Saccharomyces cerevisiae S288C: one gene and its partners. The protein of the gene in region 1 interacts with the protein of each later gene in a biochemical or structural test. Each region holds a gene or a part of one and is shown on either strand. Other genes may lie near its edges.

Region 1 (3,791 bases):
CCTAGTGAAAAAGTCGATCCAAAGAATTTCAGGCTTCAATTTCTTATTGGCACTATGCTTTCTGCTCAAACGAGGGACGAAAGGATGGCGCAAGCGGCTTTGAATATCACCGAATACTGCTTAAACACATTAAAAATAGCAGAGGGTATTACGCTAGATGGACTGCTTAAAATTGATGAACCTGTATTAGCAAATCTAATTCGATGCGTTAGCTTCTATACCAGAAAAGCCAATTTCATCAAAAGAACCGCACAATTATTGGTAGACAATTTCGATTCAGATATACCGTATGATATAGAGGGAATTCTCTCGTTACCTGGAGTTGGACCTAAAATGGGATATTTAACACTGCAAAAAGGTTGGGGGCTGATTGCCGGCATATGCGTCGATGTTCATGTCCATAGGCTGTGTAAAATGTGGAATTGGGTAGACCCTATTAAGTGTAAGACTGCCGAGCATACTAGAAAGGAGTTACAGGTTTGGCTACCTCACTCACTGTGGTACGAAATAAACACCGTTTTGGTTGGATTTGGTCAATTGATCTGCATGGCCAGGGGTAAGAGGTGTGATTTATGTCTAGCAAACGATGTCTGCAATGCTCGCAATGAGAAGCTAATCGAATCTTCCAAATTTCATCAATTGGAGGACAAAGAAGACATCGAGAAAGTATATTCGCATTGGTTGGACACGGTTACAAATGGAATTACAACAGAAAGACACAAGAAAAAATAGAACCACCATTCATTGTGGAAAAAGATGAAAAACCATTATGTATGTCATTAAAATAAGTAGGTAGGGTTTTATAAACTATTCAAATATTTCTCATATACTCGCTAGAAGTTTTAGCAACCCTACAATCTGGGGGTATACAGTGTGAAAGGCCGCTGGAACATGTTTGAAAATTGCCATCAATGACTTATATTTTTTCAAACATAAGAGTAGCAGCAGACCTGTGAGCAGAAGTCCGTTTTTGTTCAGCACACTTCTTGTGAAATGATGCTTCAGGACAGCCCAAAATGAACCAGCCAGAACAGTAATATCATTGTTTTTTTTACGGGGCGCCGTTCCAGTACTCTGGAGTCTACTATCAGTAGAGGTGCGTTGATTAAACGCATCCTCAACCTTAACCTGTTCTTCACTACTATTGTGTAACATAGGCTCGTGAAAATGGTGTATTTTCTGTTTCACTCCTCTTTGTTTACCTTTAGACTTCGCCTTATCTTTTTGTATTTTATTATCTATTGAGTTCAGAATAGCATCCTCTATGGAAACATCTTTAGATAAGTAAAGGCCCTTTAGGGTTGGAGATAACTTAGGTAATGTTTTGCAAAGCGCCCAATACATATTCGGTGAGGGTTTTTTATGATGCAGTTTTACCTTCACCTGAAAGATGAATATCTCGATTAATTCTTGTAAGCCAACTACATCTATAGTTGTCCTCATTTTCGTTATGTATACGAAAATGAAATCACTCATTATGGATTCAAGCTCCAGAGTTTTTTCTTCTTGTTCGGTGTGATCAGTTAAGTTAAACTGAATAACCTTGATACAGCATCGAAAGAATTTATTGATGACCAAAAGTTTACTGAGGTCACCGAGAATAATTTTTCTTGTCTCAATACATTGAGGGGTATCTAACGTGAAAATATTCAAAATCTCACTCTGCAGTGTTAAACCTAATTTGGTAAAGCTGGGCATAATATCACAGGCGCTGACAAATAAATCTAATATCATAGGGTTGGACTTGAAAACGGTAATATCAATAAATCCAACCTCAGACATTTTTTCTAGGCAATCCTTGATATCTCTTTTTATGAAAAGGTTCACACATTCTTGAAATACTTCACTCCTCTGATCATTTACCGACTTGGTCGATTCATCACTTTCAATGAATAAGTCATCGTTAAGTAAATCCCTTAGAGAAGAATCGAGGGAATGCATAGGCAGATTGTTCATTATCTCACTTGCAGCCATTATTCACAGAACCCTCTTGTATAAACCACACCGTAGTACGTTCTGCTAGTGCCTCTTTCTGTTTACCTAACTATTTCTCTTGCCTAAATATGTAAGTCTACGATGACTTTTCTATGGTACTTGATGTCACTCCGACGGCGATAAGCCGCTCAGCGCAGAAGTTTGCCCCAAAATAGAATGAAAGAAAATACTGCATAGAGGCTGGACAAGAAGGATATAGAGCAATGATATGATATTAAAAATGTAATTAATATATAGCCAAAAAAAGAATAGAACATTTATGAAGGTAAATGGTTATGAAAATGGATTAAATTATTCTTTCCCTTTATCTTGGAGAGTACGGAAAACTAGATTTTAAGCCATTTATCTTCATATATTTCATCAATAGTAGGTCTTTTATCAACTTCTCTTGTCAAAATTCTTTTTATCAAACTGATGCATTCTTCACTGACATGTTCCGATTTATCGAACCTTAATTCACCTTCCAAGATTTCATCAATGTTGTAATAAGGATTCTCTTTATAAATTATGGTATAAAGTAGCACACCAAGAGCCCAAATATCTTGTGGTTTACCTTTGTAAGAGGAACCACCAAGGACTTCAGGTGCAGCATAGTCCATTGTTCCCACAAAAACATCGAATGGTCCACTCTTGATATAGGCAGCCGAACCGAAATCGATTAATTTTACAAAGCCATGAGAATCAACAATAACATTTTCGTCCTTTATGTCTCTATGAACAATTCCTTGGTCATGTAAATGCTTTATACTAGCGACTACCTGTTTAAACACCAGTTTAGCTTCATGTTCAACCATATCTTTTTTGAATTCGATAACATCAAATAGATCAATACTACCAGTTTCTCCATGGACCGGTGTTTCAATGTAATAATAATCGTCATCTTCAAAAAAATCTAATAACTTCAAGATATTTTCTTGGGAATTTTTATTCAAGGTCGCCATAATTTGGATCTCAGAAGGTATAGTACCTAATTTTCTATCTCTCACCCATGTGTCTACTAAAATCCTCTCTTTGAAAATCATTTTGATGACCACGATATAGTGTTCTCTGTTATGAATGCATAAATTGACTTTACCGTACGCACCCTCACCCATCACTTGCAGAATAGTAAAATCAGAAAATTTCTTTATGCGCTTTTGTGAGCCTATATTAGCCTCTGGAGTAGTCAAGTACGTAGCTTTTAAAGTAGAATTTCTTTTGTCTAGCTCATTTGTTTCCTTTTTGATTTCTTCTCCGTTTATCGGTTCAATTATCCTCATTATAAATTTTTCATCCACTTTAAAGTTGTCGTCCTTTACAAATTTTGATTTGTCCTGCGTGTACATTTTCGTTAATTCAATTTTATGTTTTAACTCAGGATCATCAACCATTGTCATGTCATCGTCATAGTTATTGTTGTCATTAGATTCGATACCTCTCACTTTACCGCAAGAAGTTTCTCGTAGTTTTTCATTCACTTGATTTAAGTCTACTTCATCGTCTGAATTAGAAATCGTTTCAGCGGAGCTAATCGACAGATCAGCCATTGCCTTCAAAGTATTCACAGGAATTTTTTCCGAAGATTTCTTGGAAGATGCACTGGAACTACCTCTACTGCCAACGACATCAATTTCGTTCTCCTTTAACATCGGTAGCTGCGAAGGAACGGTGGTATAATTTTCAATGACCACGTCTCTTGAGTGTGTAATCCATAATAATACAGCATTCGTATTCAAGACCCGTAATTGAACATCCACCTTTATCAAATTACCATCTTTGTGACAGCCGTCTAGACCAATAGAAGTGTAAAACGAGTC
Region 2 (5,943 bases), on another chromosome or scaffold:
TCAAACTTAGTTAACGAAGTATCGAATACGTAATCTGAGGAGGAAGATGTCTGAGAAGTCAAATAAACGGGATTTCTGAACGTTCTCATTGGTAAGTCAACGGTAAACCAGGCGGTATTATTAGTTTTGTATATACCACCATCTGTTGTTATAGCAGAAGTATTTTTAGCGACGTAATCAATAACGTCATTAAACATAGTATTTTCTGAATAGAAACTGTAAACGATGCTTTTTGGTTCTGTAACTTTGGATTTAGCATCTGATGTAAGCTGTGCAAGGAAGTTAAATGTAGTAGTTATATCTTCTGAACTCTTTTCTGGAATAGAAATGGTGAAATTGTTCGTCGATTTATCTGGGCGTGATATCGTGGCAACACTGTTAGAATTATGTTTTATGCTGAAGGGTTCTTGAGGGAATGAGCTGAAAGCATCTGGTACTTGGAATGTTATATTTTGCTGACTTCCCTTTGGAATAGACAGTTGCCCTTCTATTATGAACCAATGATCTGGATCCGTACATTCTTTTGTTTTGGTATAACTATCTGTTATTTGAATATCTTTTAAAATCGGTTGCGTTTGTGTGAGAGCGTTTGCTAGGCCGAGTATCGAAATGACTCGTACTAGATGTAACAATAGTTTATTCATTGTAGTGTTTTATATTATGCTTGTTTATGTTGATTCTACTGAAAGAAAACCATCAGAAAGTTTGAGTCTAAGGACACAAGTTTTAGGTCGGCAAGAATGTATTCTGCTTTTATATTTGTACTGTTATGGACGAATAAAAAAAAAACAAGCCACATTAAAAAGGAAGTACTAAATCGTATTCTTAGCATCAAACCAGCATCTTACTCATAAAAGCTTGAGTACCTTTTCGGAAGTGTCAGCCGAAAGTGTCAGTAAATTAGTCCCTTGTCAGCCTGCTGTTTTTCCTCACGGCGCGGAGCCAGCGCGTCCGAATTAGGAAAATAATAGAGCCAGCAAGAACCATTTCACTAAAGAGGTTACTAAAGAGGTTACTAAAGGAACCAGCAGAGGCTATATTAGTTGTGAATGGTACCATTCTATGCATAAATTTATTGGGATATGATCCTCCATGGTGGGACTTCGTTTAATATCAAATCCTTAGCACTGTTTTTTTTTGCTTTTTCTTTTTTGTGTTTCTTTTTCTTTGGCAGGGAAACGACATATCCAACATCCCATACACTATTGATCTTCGTTATGGCATTACTGCCACGCTCAACGTCATTTTTCGTCTTGTAGCTTATTCTCTGATTATTGTTATTGCAAGAGGTAAACGCTCATTGTGAATAACAATTTCGGAAACGGAGATACAATCTAGAAAAAAATAACAACAAACGAATTCGTTGCTAGGATCCACTCAATACACAGTATAGCCACAAAGAATAGGATATTCCAGCATGGTTTTGCCTATAATAATTGGTTTGGGCGTGACAATGGTTGCTCTAAGTGTCAAGTCTGGTCTCAATGCATGGACCGTCTACAAGACCCTGTCCCCTTTAACTATTGCAAAACTAAATAACATTCGCATAGAAAACCCGACGGCGGGCTACCGCGATGCACTTAAGTTCAAAAGCTCACTGATAGACGAAGAACTGAAAAATAGATTAAACCAGTACCAGGGAGGCTTTGCACCGCGAATGACAGAGCCCGAAGCCTTGCTCATCTTGGATATCTCCGCCAGAGAGATTAATCACTTGGATGAAAAATTACTGAAAAAAAAGCACAGGAAGGCTATGGTTCGTAACCACCCAGACAGAGGAGGGAGTCCCTACATGGCGGCCAAGATAAATGAGGCGAAAGAAGTTCTCGAAAGAAGTGTTTTACTAAGAAAGAGATAAAAGAACTTTATATATCATGTAGCCAATTGCTACACTTCCTTACACCACATAGTATACGGCGATAATCGTCAACACTTCCGGGAAAGTGCGGCCATCGGAGACTTTCAAACAAGTCATTAGAATTAGAACAAAGAACAGTAGTGGAGAGCATATATGTGTTTGCATACCCTCCAAAAGAAAGCGATTATAGTAACATTAATATGAAGGCATCGCTTACGTTTAGTCTCTCCGGAATATACGCCCCCTGTAGCATTTCTAGGGATATATATCTCGAATACGGCGATAAAAAAGCTGAATGTTTATATGGGACAATTAGATTGCCTCAGTACGGTCCAGGTTGCACGCCTGGTAAAATTGTACATTGTGTCCTGGATGATTCACTGCCCTTCTGTAGCATTGTTGTACCTTCCAAACTTTTTGGGTTTATGCCGACACAGCCCACTATGGATTTTTGCTATTTTGAACCCATATTAGACAATGTAGTACCTGTACTGGATAGCGTAACGTTTCTGATTAATGAACAATTGTACTCAAAACTAATGGACCTACCGCAAGAGATGCAACAAATACAATTTTTGCATTACAAATATAACATCAACTCCATGGAAACCGTGGTTCATTCTCGAGATATTTTAACATCTGGTCTTTGCCAAATTTTAAACTGCTCACCTTTCCCGCAGGGCCTTGTTGATTTTACAGAAACCCAATTGATATTAGTAAATGATACTGAGCAGAAACTAAGTGCTCTAAAATATGCTAACGAAGATGAAGAATATGCATTACCTAAAATAGGGACAAATTCTGCTTTATCAATTGATCTTGAATCTCTCCCCTGCACAATTTCAAGAGATCTTTTGCGACCTGCACCTCACATCAATGATGATAATTCAATATATGCCTTTACAGACGCTGAAACTCTACTGCGCCTGGATGTCACAAGTGGATCGTTTATAACAGTGTCAAATATGGGTTGCGTCAGGCTAGTTAAGCTGTTTGTTTTACTACTCCCCAACGGCTTTAAAAAAAGAACAATATACGCACCTCCCAAAATAATAGCAAGCTTTCCAGACTGCAGCGTCGTGACAATATCAAAGTCCAATATAGGCCATACAGATATTCCCATTGCTAATCAAGTTTTCATCTCAAGAGTTGGAGGCTGGCTTCAATCTCAGAAATGCTTTCAAAATATTATTCTAACAACCTTGAAAAAGTTTTTTAGCGAGAGCAAAAGGATTCTTTGTCAAAATGATTTAATCCCAATCGCTTTTGATTCAAGTATGGCTGATCTCAATATAGCAGAGGAAAATGATGAGTCTGATGACGAAGATGAGCTAGGGCAGTACTACAAGAACGATTCCCTTGTATGGTTCTTTGTCACAAGCGCAGAGCTCGATTGCTTCTCTAAAGATAATTCTCATTTTATTATTGATCCCAATCGGACGAAGCTAATAACAACTAATATCACTAACAGAAGACCATTACCCTTGAGTAGATCCAATCTTCAGAGATATTACGGTTTTGCTGAAACTTTTTACTATGATTTGCATATCTTCCCCTATGTAAGACAATTGGTTAACATATTAGAAACTTCCTTCAATTGTTCTCAAAGGGGAATCACCCTAAATGCCTCTGTGTTACTTCATTCCACTACAAACAATGTGGGCAAGGCTACAATGGTGAGATTTGCTTCAAAATATCTTGGTATACATCTACTGGAGATAGATTGCCTTTCGCTCACTTCAAATTCAAGACAACTGGATTCAACATCTAAGATTATTGGTTACATTAGGGCTAAATGTGAAAATGTCCTACCGTACGCATCACCTGCTGTGATTTTTTTGGCTCATTTGGATTCAATTTTGCTTGACGTAAACGCTAATCAAGATCCAGAGGCAATCAAATTACAAAAATCTATAAACTTCGAAATGTCTAAACTTCTGGACGATTTTACGTTTAAATTCCCAGGAACTACATTTGTTGGCTCCGTAAATAACATAGATAACGTGCCTTCCAGCTTTAGATCACATATGAGATTTGAGATTCTCGTACCCGTTCCGTCTGAAGCACAGAGACTGCGTATCTTTCAGTGGTACTTATCTTCACATGAACTAAACAGAGATGTTCAACAAAAGGTTCCAGTATCTTACATGGATAATATTTCATTTTCATCACTCTCTTCATATTCTGCTGGTTTAACTCCTTTAGACATCAAATCAATTGTGGAAACGGCACGAATGACGGCTACTGCGCGTTTTTACCAAGAATCAAAGAAGTGTGGATGGCTTCCGCAATCAATTTTGATCACTCAGGAGGATTTATCAAAAGCTACTTCGAAAGCTAGGAACGAATTCTCGGTTTCGATTGGTGCCCCACAAATCCCTAACGTAACTTGGGATGATATAGGTGGTATTGATTTTGTTAAAGGTGAAATATTGGACACAATAGACATGCCGCTAAAACATCCTGAATTATTTACCTCAGGTATGAAAAAGAGAAGCGGTATTCTTTTTTATGGTCCACCGGGTACAGGTAAAACTCTAATGGCTAAGGCCATTGCAACAAATTTTTCTTTAAATTTTTTTAGTGTTAAAGGCCCTGAACTGTTGAATATGTACATTGGTGAGAGTGAAGCTAATGTGCGCAGAGTGTTTCAAAAGGCGAGAGAGGCTAAACCTTGTGTCATATTTTTCGATGAAATCGATTCAGTAGCACCCAAACGTGGTAATCAAGGTGATTCGGGTGGTGTTATGGATCGTATCGTTTCACAGTTACTAGCAGAGTTAGATGGTATGAGTACCGACGCTGACGGTGTATTTGTTATCGGAGCAACAAACAGACCAGACTTATTGGACGAAGCACTACTAAGACCAGGACGATTCGATAAATTGTTATATTTAGGCATTCCGGATACGGATACCAAACAATTGAATATTTTAGAGGCTCTGACTCGCAAATTCGTGCTCGACAACGACGTAAAGCTTATTGAGTTGGCAAAGCTATGTCCATTTAATTACACCGGGGCAGATTTTTATGCTCTCTGCTCAGATGCAATGCTTAACGCCATGTCAAGAATTGCACGCATGGTAGAAAAAAAAGTTTCTCAGCATAACGAATTGACGGGAGAGAATATTTCTACACGTCGCTGGTTTGATAAGATTGCGACAAAAGAGGATACTAAGGTTGTCGTAAAAATGGAAGACTTCTTGAAAGCACAAGAGCAGCTCACCCCAAGTGTGTCGCGGGCTGAACTGAATCATTATGAAGCGGTGAGAGCTAATTTTGAAGGTGCTTAAGTAATATCAACTCAGAGCGTATAGGTAAATTTGTAAATATATGTCCCATATTTTGCCTTGAAATTTATCTTTTTATTTACTTACCCTCCCCGGCTCATAGTATCTATCGAAAGGGAAAAACAGAAAAGATACTAGTAGTTGATTATACATAATAAAAATTTGAAGTAATAACCATAAAGGTTCATAAAACAATTGCGCCATACAAAACATTCGTGGCTACAACTCGATATCCGTGCAGATGGTATATGAAGCAACACCTTTTGATCCGATCACGGTCAAGCCAAGCGATAAAAGACGCGTTGCATATTTTTACGATGCAGACGTTGGGAACTATGCATATGGAGCAGGTCACCCGATGAAGCCGCATAGAATAAGAATGGCACATTCCCTTATTATGAATTATGGCTTGTACAAGAAGATGGAAATTTACAGAGCTAAGCCGGCAACGAAACAAGAAATGTGTCAGTTCCATACTGATGAATACATTGATTTTTTATCGAGGGTTACTCCAGATAATTTAGAAATGTTTAAAAGAGAAAGTGTCAAGTTTAATGTCGGAGATGATTGTCCTGTCTTTGATGGGCTCTATGAGTACTGTAGCATATCTGGTGGTGGCTCTATGGAAGGAGCTGCTCGTCTGAATAGAGGCAAATGTGATGTTGCTGTCAACTATGCGGGTGGTTTGCATCATGCAAAAAAATCGGAAGCTTCTGGGTTTTGTTATTTAAATGACATAGTACTGGGCATTATTGAGCTACTACGATACCACCCCAGAGTTCTGTATATTGATAT
Region 3 (5,976 bases), on another chromosome or scaffold:
CCATGAGACGTCTTGTTTGGTGTCGGCATAACCCCCTTGCCACTTGAATTGACGGCCTGTTTCTGCACGCATTCCTGACGACTAAGTTGCGAAGCATTTTACTGATAATATACACTCTTTGGATCGAGCCTACTTCCAGTTGGTAATTGGTGTTCCACAATTTCAGCATTATATGTTTTTAAACCAAAATTCGGCTCCTTTTCCCTTTTTTTCTTATTGGGTGGCGTGCCGTACAGAACGATTGGCTTGGTGTGAAATCAAGAGCAAGCACAATAGATATCAACATGAACAATATACAAAAGTCTCTGGCACAGTTTGACTGCGTTAGACCAGGCTAGGGCATTTCTGAAGCTTTACGTATCACTAGAGAAGTTATTTTGGCAATGAGAATCTACTACATCGGTGTATTTCGCTCTGGAGGAGAAAAGGCTCTAGAGTTGAGTGAAGTTAAAGACTTGTCACAATTTGGTTTCTTTGAAAGGTCTAGTGTTGGCCAGTTTATGACTTTTTTTGCTGAAACGGTCGCTTCTAGAACTGGTGCAGGACAAAGACAAAGTATAGAAGAAGGCAACTATATTGGCCACGTTTATGCCAGGAGTGAGGGCATATGTGGTGTTTTGATCACCGACAAAGAATATCCTGTCAGACCAGCATACACACTATTAAACAAAATATTGGATGAATATTTAGTCGCACATCCTAAGGAAGAGTGGGCAGATGTGACTGAGACCAATGATGCATTGAAAATGAAGCAACTGGACACTTACATTAGCAAATATCAAGATCCTTCACAGGCTGACGCTATCATGAAAGTTCAACAAGAACTGGATGAGACGAAAATCGTTTTGCACAAAACGATTGAGAATGTTTTACAAAGAGGTGAAAAGTTGGATAATTTGGTGGACAAATCGGAGTCATTAACGGCAAGTTCCAAAATGTTTTATAAGCAAGCTAAAAAATCCAATTCGTGTTGCATCATCATGTAGATGCATCCACACACTATTTTCAGCATAGTGTGGCTTTTCATCTGCTTTATGTAATTTAGAAAGCCAATGACAGCAGCAAGGGAAACAAAAATCTTTTAAATCAAATTAATTGTTTAAATAATATACTATGTAAGCATCGATTCTCCTAACTATTATAACCAAAGGTTGATTTGAAGCCATTGGCATTGTATTAGAATTGATTTGTTTCTTCAGTGTAAAAAAGTTAAAAATAAGCGACCCCAGTGAGGGTTGAACTCACGATCTTGCGATTAACAGTCGCACGCCTTAACCAACTTGGCCATGGAGTCTAATTGCTATATTTTTCTTTTGAAAACAAGATATATAAATAATGCTTGAGCTGGAGCATTTACGTTGTAAATGTATAATTAGTGTAAGAAACCGCTGGGCCCTATTTGTTGATGAAGTATTTACTTAAATGTAACAGAATATACTGGAAGTCCCCCCTCGGGCACATGGAAATTCACTAAAAGGAATTGGTAATGCATATGATATTACTACCGTTTCTCATTTCACTTTATATGCTTTCAGTGATTGTGTTACTACGTGACAGTTCTTACAATTCAGCGCCGTTACTCTCTATGAGTGCTCTCATTATTTATATCATATTCTTACACTTCATACAATTATATATACTCGTACCATGGATATTAGAGGATAGTTGGTTTTTGTTTAAACTAATTCTATGTAACCTCGATGGCATGAGTCCATAATACTGTACTGGCGTATGCCCTTGTTTGTGGTCTTTGTGCAACCATTTCAGGCTTTCTTATTTGCACAGGGCAGTTGCGACCCTGATAAAAAAAAATGGCTGATCAATCGGCGTGGACAAAAAAAAACATCGATTTCTATATTCATGGTAATCTGTCGAATTCTCCAACCAAGTTAGCTGGACTTTATTGTCTTATATCCGATTACTATCGCGATTTATTCTTGTGCGTAGCCGCAATTATAAAGGTCCGGAATATCTCTCCGACTATTGTCATCGTCGAATTTCTTCTGGAAGGGACGGCAGTAACAAGAAACACCTGAGGAACTGCTCTTTCAAATGACGACGACCAAGAGGTTGAAGTTTGAGAATCTGAGAATCCAATTCTCCAATGCCATAGTAGGAAACTTTTTAAGGTTACCGCATTCAATTATAAACGTGTTAGAGTCAACCAACTACGCTATCCAGGAATTCGGTATAGCAGTCCATTCTCATAATTCAGATATACCTATTGTTCATCTTGGATGGGATGGCCATGATTCTGGATCGAGTGAGAATGTTGTTCTTATCAATCCTGTTTTGGCCACAGTATATGATTTAAATCAAAAGTCTCCATTGGTGGACTTATACATCCAGCGATATGACCACACACACCTGGCTACGGAGGTGTATGTCACGCCAGAAACGAGTGATGATTGGGAAATTATCGATGCCAATGCGATGAGGTTCCAAAATGGTGAGATTTTGCACCAAACCCGTATAGTTACCCCAGGTGAGACTTTGATTTGTTATTTGGAAGGAATTGTTACAAAGTTCAAAATTGACAGGGTGGAGCCATCAATGAAGTCTGCGAGGATCACAGATGGTTCCTTGGTTGTTGTGGCACCAAAAGTCAATAAAACACGTTTGGTGAAGGCTGAGTATGGTCATAGTAATAAGACAATACTAAAAAATGGGGCTATCCAACTTTTAAAGAAGGTAATATTGAGGAGTACTGTGTGCAAAATGGACTTCCCTAAAGATAACCTTTTTGTCGTATATATCAGTGACGGGGCACAATTGCCTTCTCAGAAGGGCTACGCTTCTATCGTAAAATGTAGCTTAAGGCAGTCCAAGAAAAGCGATTCAGATAATAAATCAGTTGGTATCCCTTCGAAGAAGATTGGGGTTTTTATAAAATGTGATAGTCAGATACCCGAAAATCACATTGCATTAAGCTCTCATCTTTGGGATGCATTCTTTACGCACCCAATGAACGGAGCAAAAATCAAACTAGAGTTTCTACAAATGAATCAAGCAAATATAATATCCGGAAGAAATGCAACAGTCAATATCAAATATTTTGGCAAGGACGTTCCTACCAAGAGTGGGGATCAGTATTCTAAGTTGTTGGGCGGGAGCTTATTGACCAATAACTTAATACTTCCAACAGAGCAAATTATAATCGAAATAAAAAAAGGTGAATCCGAGCAGCAGTTGTGTAATTTGAATGAAATTTCCAATGAATCCGTTCAATGGAAAGTAACCCAAATGGGTAAAGAAGAAGTTAAAGATATTATCGAAAGGCATTTGCCTAAACATTACCACGTCAAAGAAACTGGCGAAGTTTCGCGCACTAGTAAAGATGAAGATGATTTCATTACGGTAAATAGTATCAAGAAAGAAATGGTCAATTATTTGACATCGCCTATTATTGCCACACCAGCTATTATATTAGATGGTAAGCAAGGGATCGGTAAAACAAGGTTATTAAAAGAGCTTATAAATGAAGTGGAAAAAGATCATCACATCTTCGTTAAATATGCGGATTGTGAAACATTGCACGAGACATCAAATTTAGATAAAACCCAAAAATTAATTATGGAATGGTGTTCTTTTTGTTATTGGTATGGTCCTTCTTTGATTGTGTTGGATAACGTTGAGGCTCTATTTGGAAAACCTCAAGCCAATGACGGAGATCCTTCTAATAATGGCCAATGGGATAATGCAAGCAAACTTTTGAATTTTTTCATCAATCAGGTGACAAAGATATTTAACAAGGATAATAAACGAATCAGAGTTTTATTTTCAGGCAAGCAGAAAACTCAAATTAATCCGCTATTGTTTGATAAGCATTTTGTTTCAGAGACGTGGTCTTTGAGAGCACCTGACAAACATGCAAGAGCGAAGTTACTGGAGTATTTTTTCTCGAAAAACCAGATCATGAAACTAAATCGAGATTTGCAATTCAGTGATTTGTCGTTGGAGACAGAAGGATTTTCGCCACTAGATTTGGAAATATTCACAGAAAAGATTTTCTACGACTTGCAGTTGGAAAGAGATTGTGATAATGTTGTAACAAGGGAACTTTTTTCGAAGTCGCTTAGTGCGTTTACACCATCTGCGTTGCGTGGAGTAAAGCTAACAAAAGAAACGAACATCAAATGGGGGGATATTGGTGCTTTAGCAAATGCCAAAGATGTCCTTCTAGAAACCTTAGAGTGGCCCACAAAATATGAGCCTATTTTCGTTAATTGTCCCCTAAGATTGAGATCAGGAATCTTGCTTTACGGTTATCCTGGTTGTGGTAAAACGCTTCTGGCGAGCGCCGTGGCACAACAATGTGGGTTAAACTTTATCTCCGTTAAGGGACCAGAGATTTTAAACAAGTTTATAGGTGCCAGCGAACAAAACATAAGAGAATTGTTTGAAAGGGCACAGTCCGTCAAACCCTGTATTCTATTTTTTGACGAGTTCGATTCTATTGCGCCAAAGAGAGGGCATGACTCCACTGGTGTCACAGACCGTGTAGTCAATCAATTATTGACCCAAATGGATGGTGCCGAGGGCCTTGATGGTGTATATATACTAGCAGCTACAAGTAGACCTGATTTGATTGATAGCGCATTGTTAAGACCGGGAAGATTAGACAAAAGTGTGATCTGTAATATACCGACTGAATCAGAGAGGTTAGATATCTTGCAAGCTATCGTCAATTCAAAAGACAAGGATACGGGACAAAAAAAATTTGCATTGGAGAAAAATGCAGACTTGAAGTTGATCGCTGAAAAGACAGCTGGTTTTTCGGGTGCTGATTTACAGGGGCTCTGCTACAATGCTTATTTGAAATCTGTACATAGGTGGCTGTCTGCTGCAGACCAATCGGAAGTGGTACCCGGCAATGATAATATAGAATACTTCAGTATCAATGAGCACGGGCGTAGAGAAGAAAATAGACTACGGCTAAAGACTCTATTGCAGCAAGATGTGGTGCACGAGACAAAGACAAGCACTTCAGCTGCTTCTGAGCTGACAGCTGTGGTCACAATAAACGATTTATTGGAAGCCTGTCAAGAGACAAAACCTAGTATTTCAACAAGTGAGTTGGTCAAATTAAGGGGGATTTACGATAGGTTCCAGAAGGATAGGAACGGTGAGATGCCCAATGGTGAGAATTCCATCGACATTGGTAGCCGACTCTCCCTTATGTGAAAAGGAAGAAGAAAAGAACAAAGCGCGTTTCCCTTTAAAGGGCAAAAAATGCGGCGCACGTTGCTTATTACGTGACATGACCCTATTGTATTGTGCGAGCACGCAGGACGGGAAAAATATTGGTGAAATTACATAACGCATTTTTTTTCCCTTGTGGTGAAAAGGAAAAACCCGAGAAATATGCCAGTAACAGTGGAGACCGGTCAAGATGTATTGAACGAAATCCGAAGTTGCATATATAACATAAATGCCTGCTACCTTTTGATACTTAATTCTTCTTAGCACCTATACGCTTTTTTTTTCATTTTTCCTTATCTTTTCTTTTTCTCGCAGAAGTCTATACAAAGAAGAAATATATATATATCTATTTCTTTTTTTTTTCAACCGTATACCACCGGCAACAAACCTCCATGTATTCATAGGCCCTGCATTACATCAAGAAATATTAGCATAAACGTATAGACCATTTTAACGCCACAGGCAAGCATACGCATTAAATCGCACCACCAACCAATGACAGTCTCACACAATCATTCTACGAAGATATCCCAACAACCAATCTCCTCGGTATCAGCATTTAAGTTCTTCGGAAAGAAGCTGTTAAGTTCAAGCCATGGGAACAAGTTGAAGAAAAAGGCGTCTCTACCTCCAGACTTCCACTCTACAAGTACTAATGACAGCGAATCCTCCAGCCCAAAACTGCCGAATTCGTTGAAAACCTCTCGCCGTGCAAACTCTTTCGCTCACACAACCAACAGCAAGAGATCTTTATCTTCCGCCTCAACCAAGATC

What was found.
Region 2: the proteins of PEX15 (region 1) and PEX6 form a complex in vitro, tested with the Saccharomyces cerevisiae proteins (4 studies listed by BioGRID).
Region 3: the proteins of PEX15 (region 1) and PEX1 form a complex in vitro, tested with the Saccharomyces cerevisiae proteins (3 studies listed by BioGRID).

Annotation. Positions count from the first base shown.
Region 1 is NC_001147.6:245,333-249,123, reverse strand, and holds PEX15 (Pex15p), read right to left. Parts: upstream 1,975-3,791; coding exon 823-1,974; downstream 1-822. Other genes in the region: bifunctional N-glycosylase/AP lyase NTG2, read left to right, coding at 1-732; serine/threonine protein kinase PSK2, read right to left, coding at 2,322-3,791. UniProt on the Saccharomyces cerevisiae protein: Peroxisomal docking factor that anchors PEX1 and PEX6 to peroxisome membranes. PEX26 is therefore required for the formation of the PEX1-PEX6 AAA ATPase complex, a complex that mediates the extraction of the PEX5 receptor from peroxisomal membrane.
Region 2 is NC_001146.8:18,749-24,691, reverse strand, and holds PEX6 (AAA family ATPase peroxin 6), read left to right. Parts: upstream 1-2,058; coding exon 2,059-5,151; downstream 5,152-5,943. Other genes in the region: EGT2 (Egt2p), read right to left, coding at 1-644; MDJ2 (Mdj2p), read left to right, coding at 1,418-1,858; histone deacetylase RPD3, read left to right, coding at 5,390-5,943. UniProt on the Saccharomyces cerevisiae protein: Component of the PEX1-PEX6 AAA ATPase complex, a protein dislocase complex that mediates the ATP-dependent extraction of the PEX5 receptor from peroxisomal membranes, an essential step for PEX5 recycling.
Region 3 is NC_001143.9:69,942-75,917, reverse strand, and holds PEX1 (AAA family ATPase peroxin 1), read left to right. Parts: upstream 1-2,052; coding exon 2,053-5,184; downstream 5,185-5,976. Other genes in the region: MIA40 (Mia40p), read right to left, coding at 1-97; palmitoyltransferase YKT6, read left to right, coding at 384-986; putative serine/threonine protein kinase PTK1, read left to right, coding at 5,698-5,976. UniProt on the Saccharomyces cerevisiae protein: Component of the PEX1-PEX6 AAA ATPase complex, a protein dislocase complex that mediates the ATP-dependent extraction of the PEX5 receptor from peroxisomal membranes, an essential step for PEX5 recycling.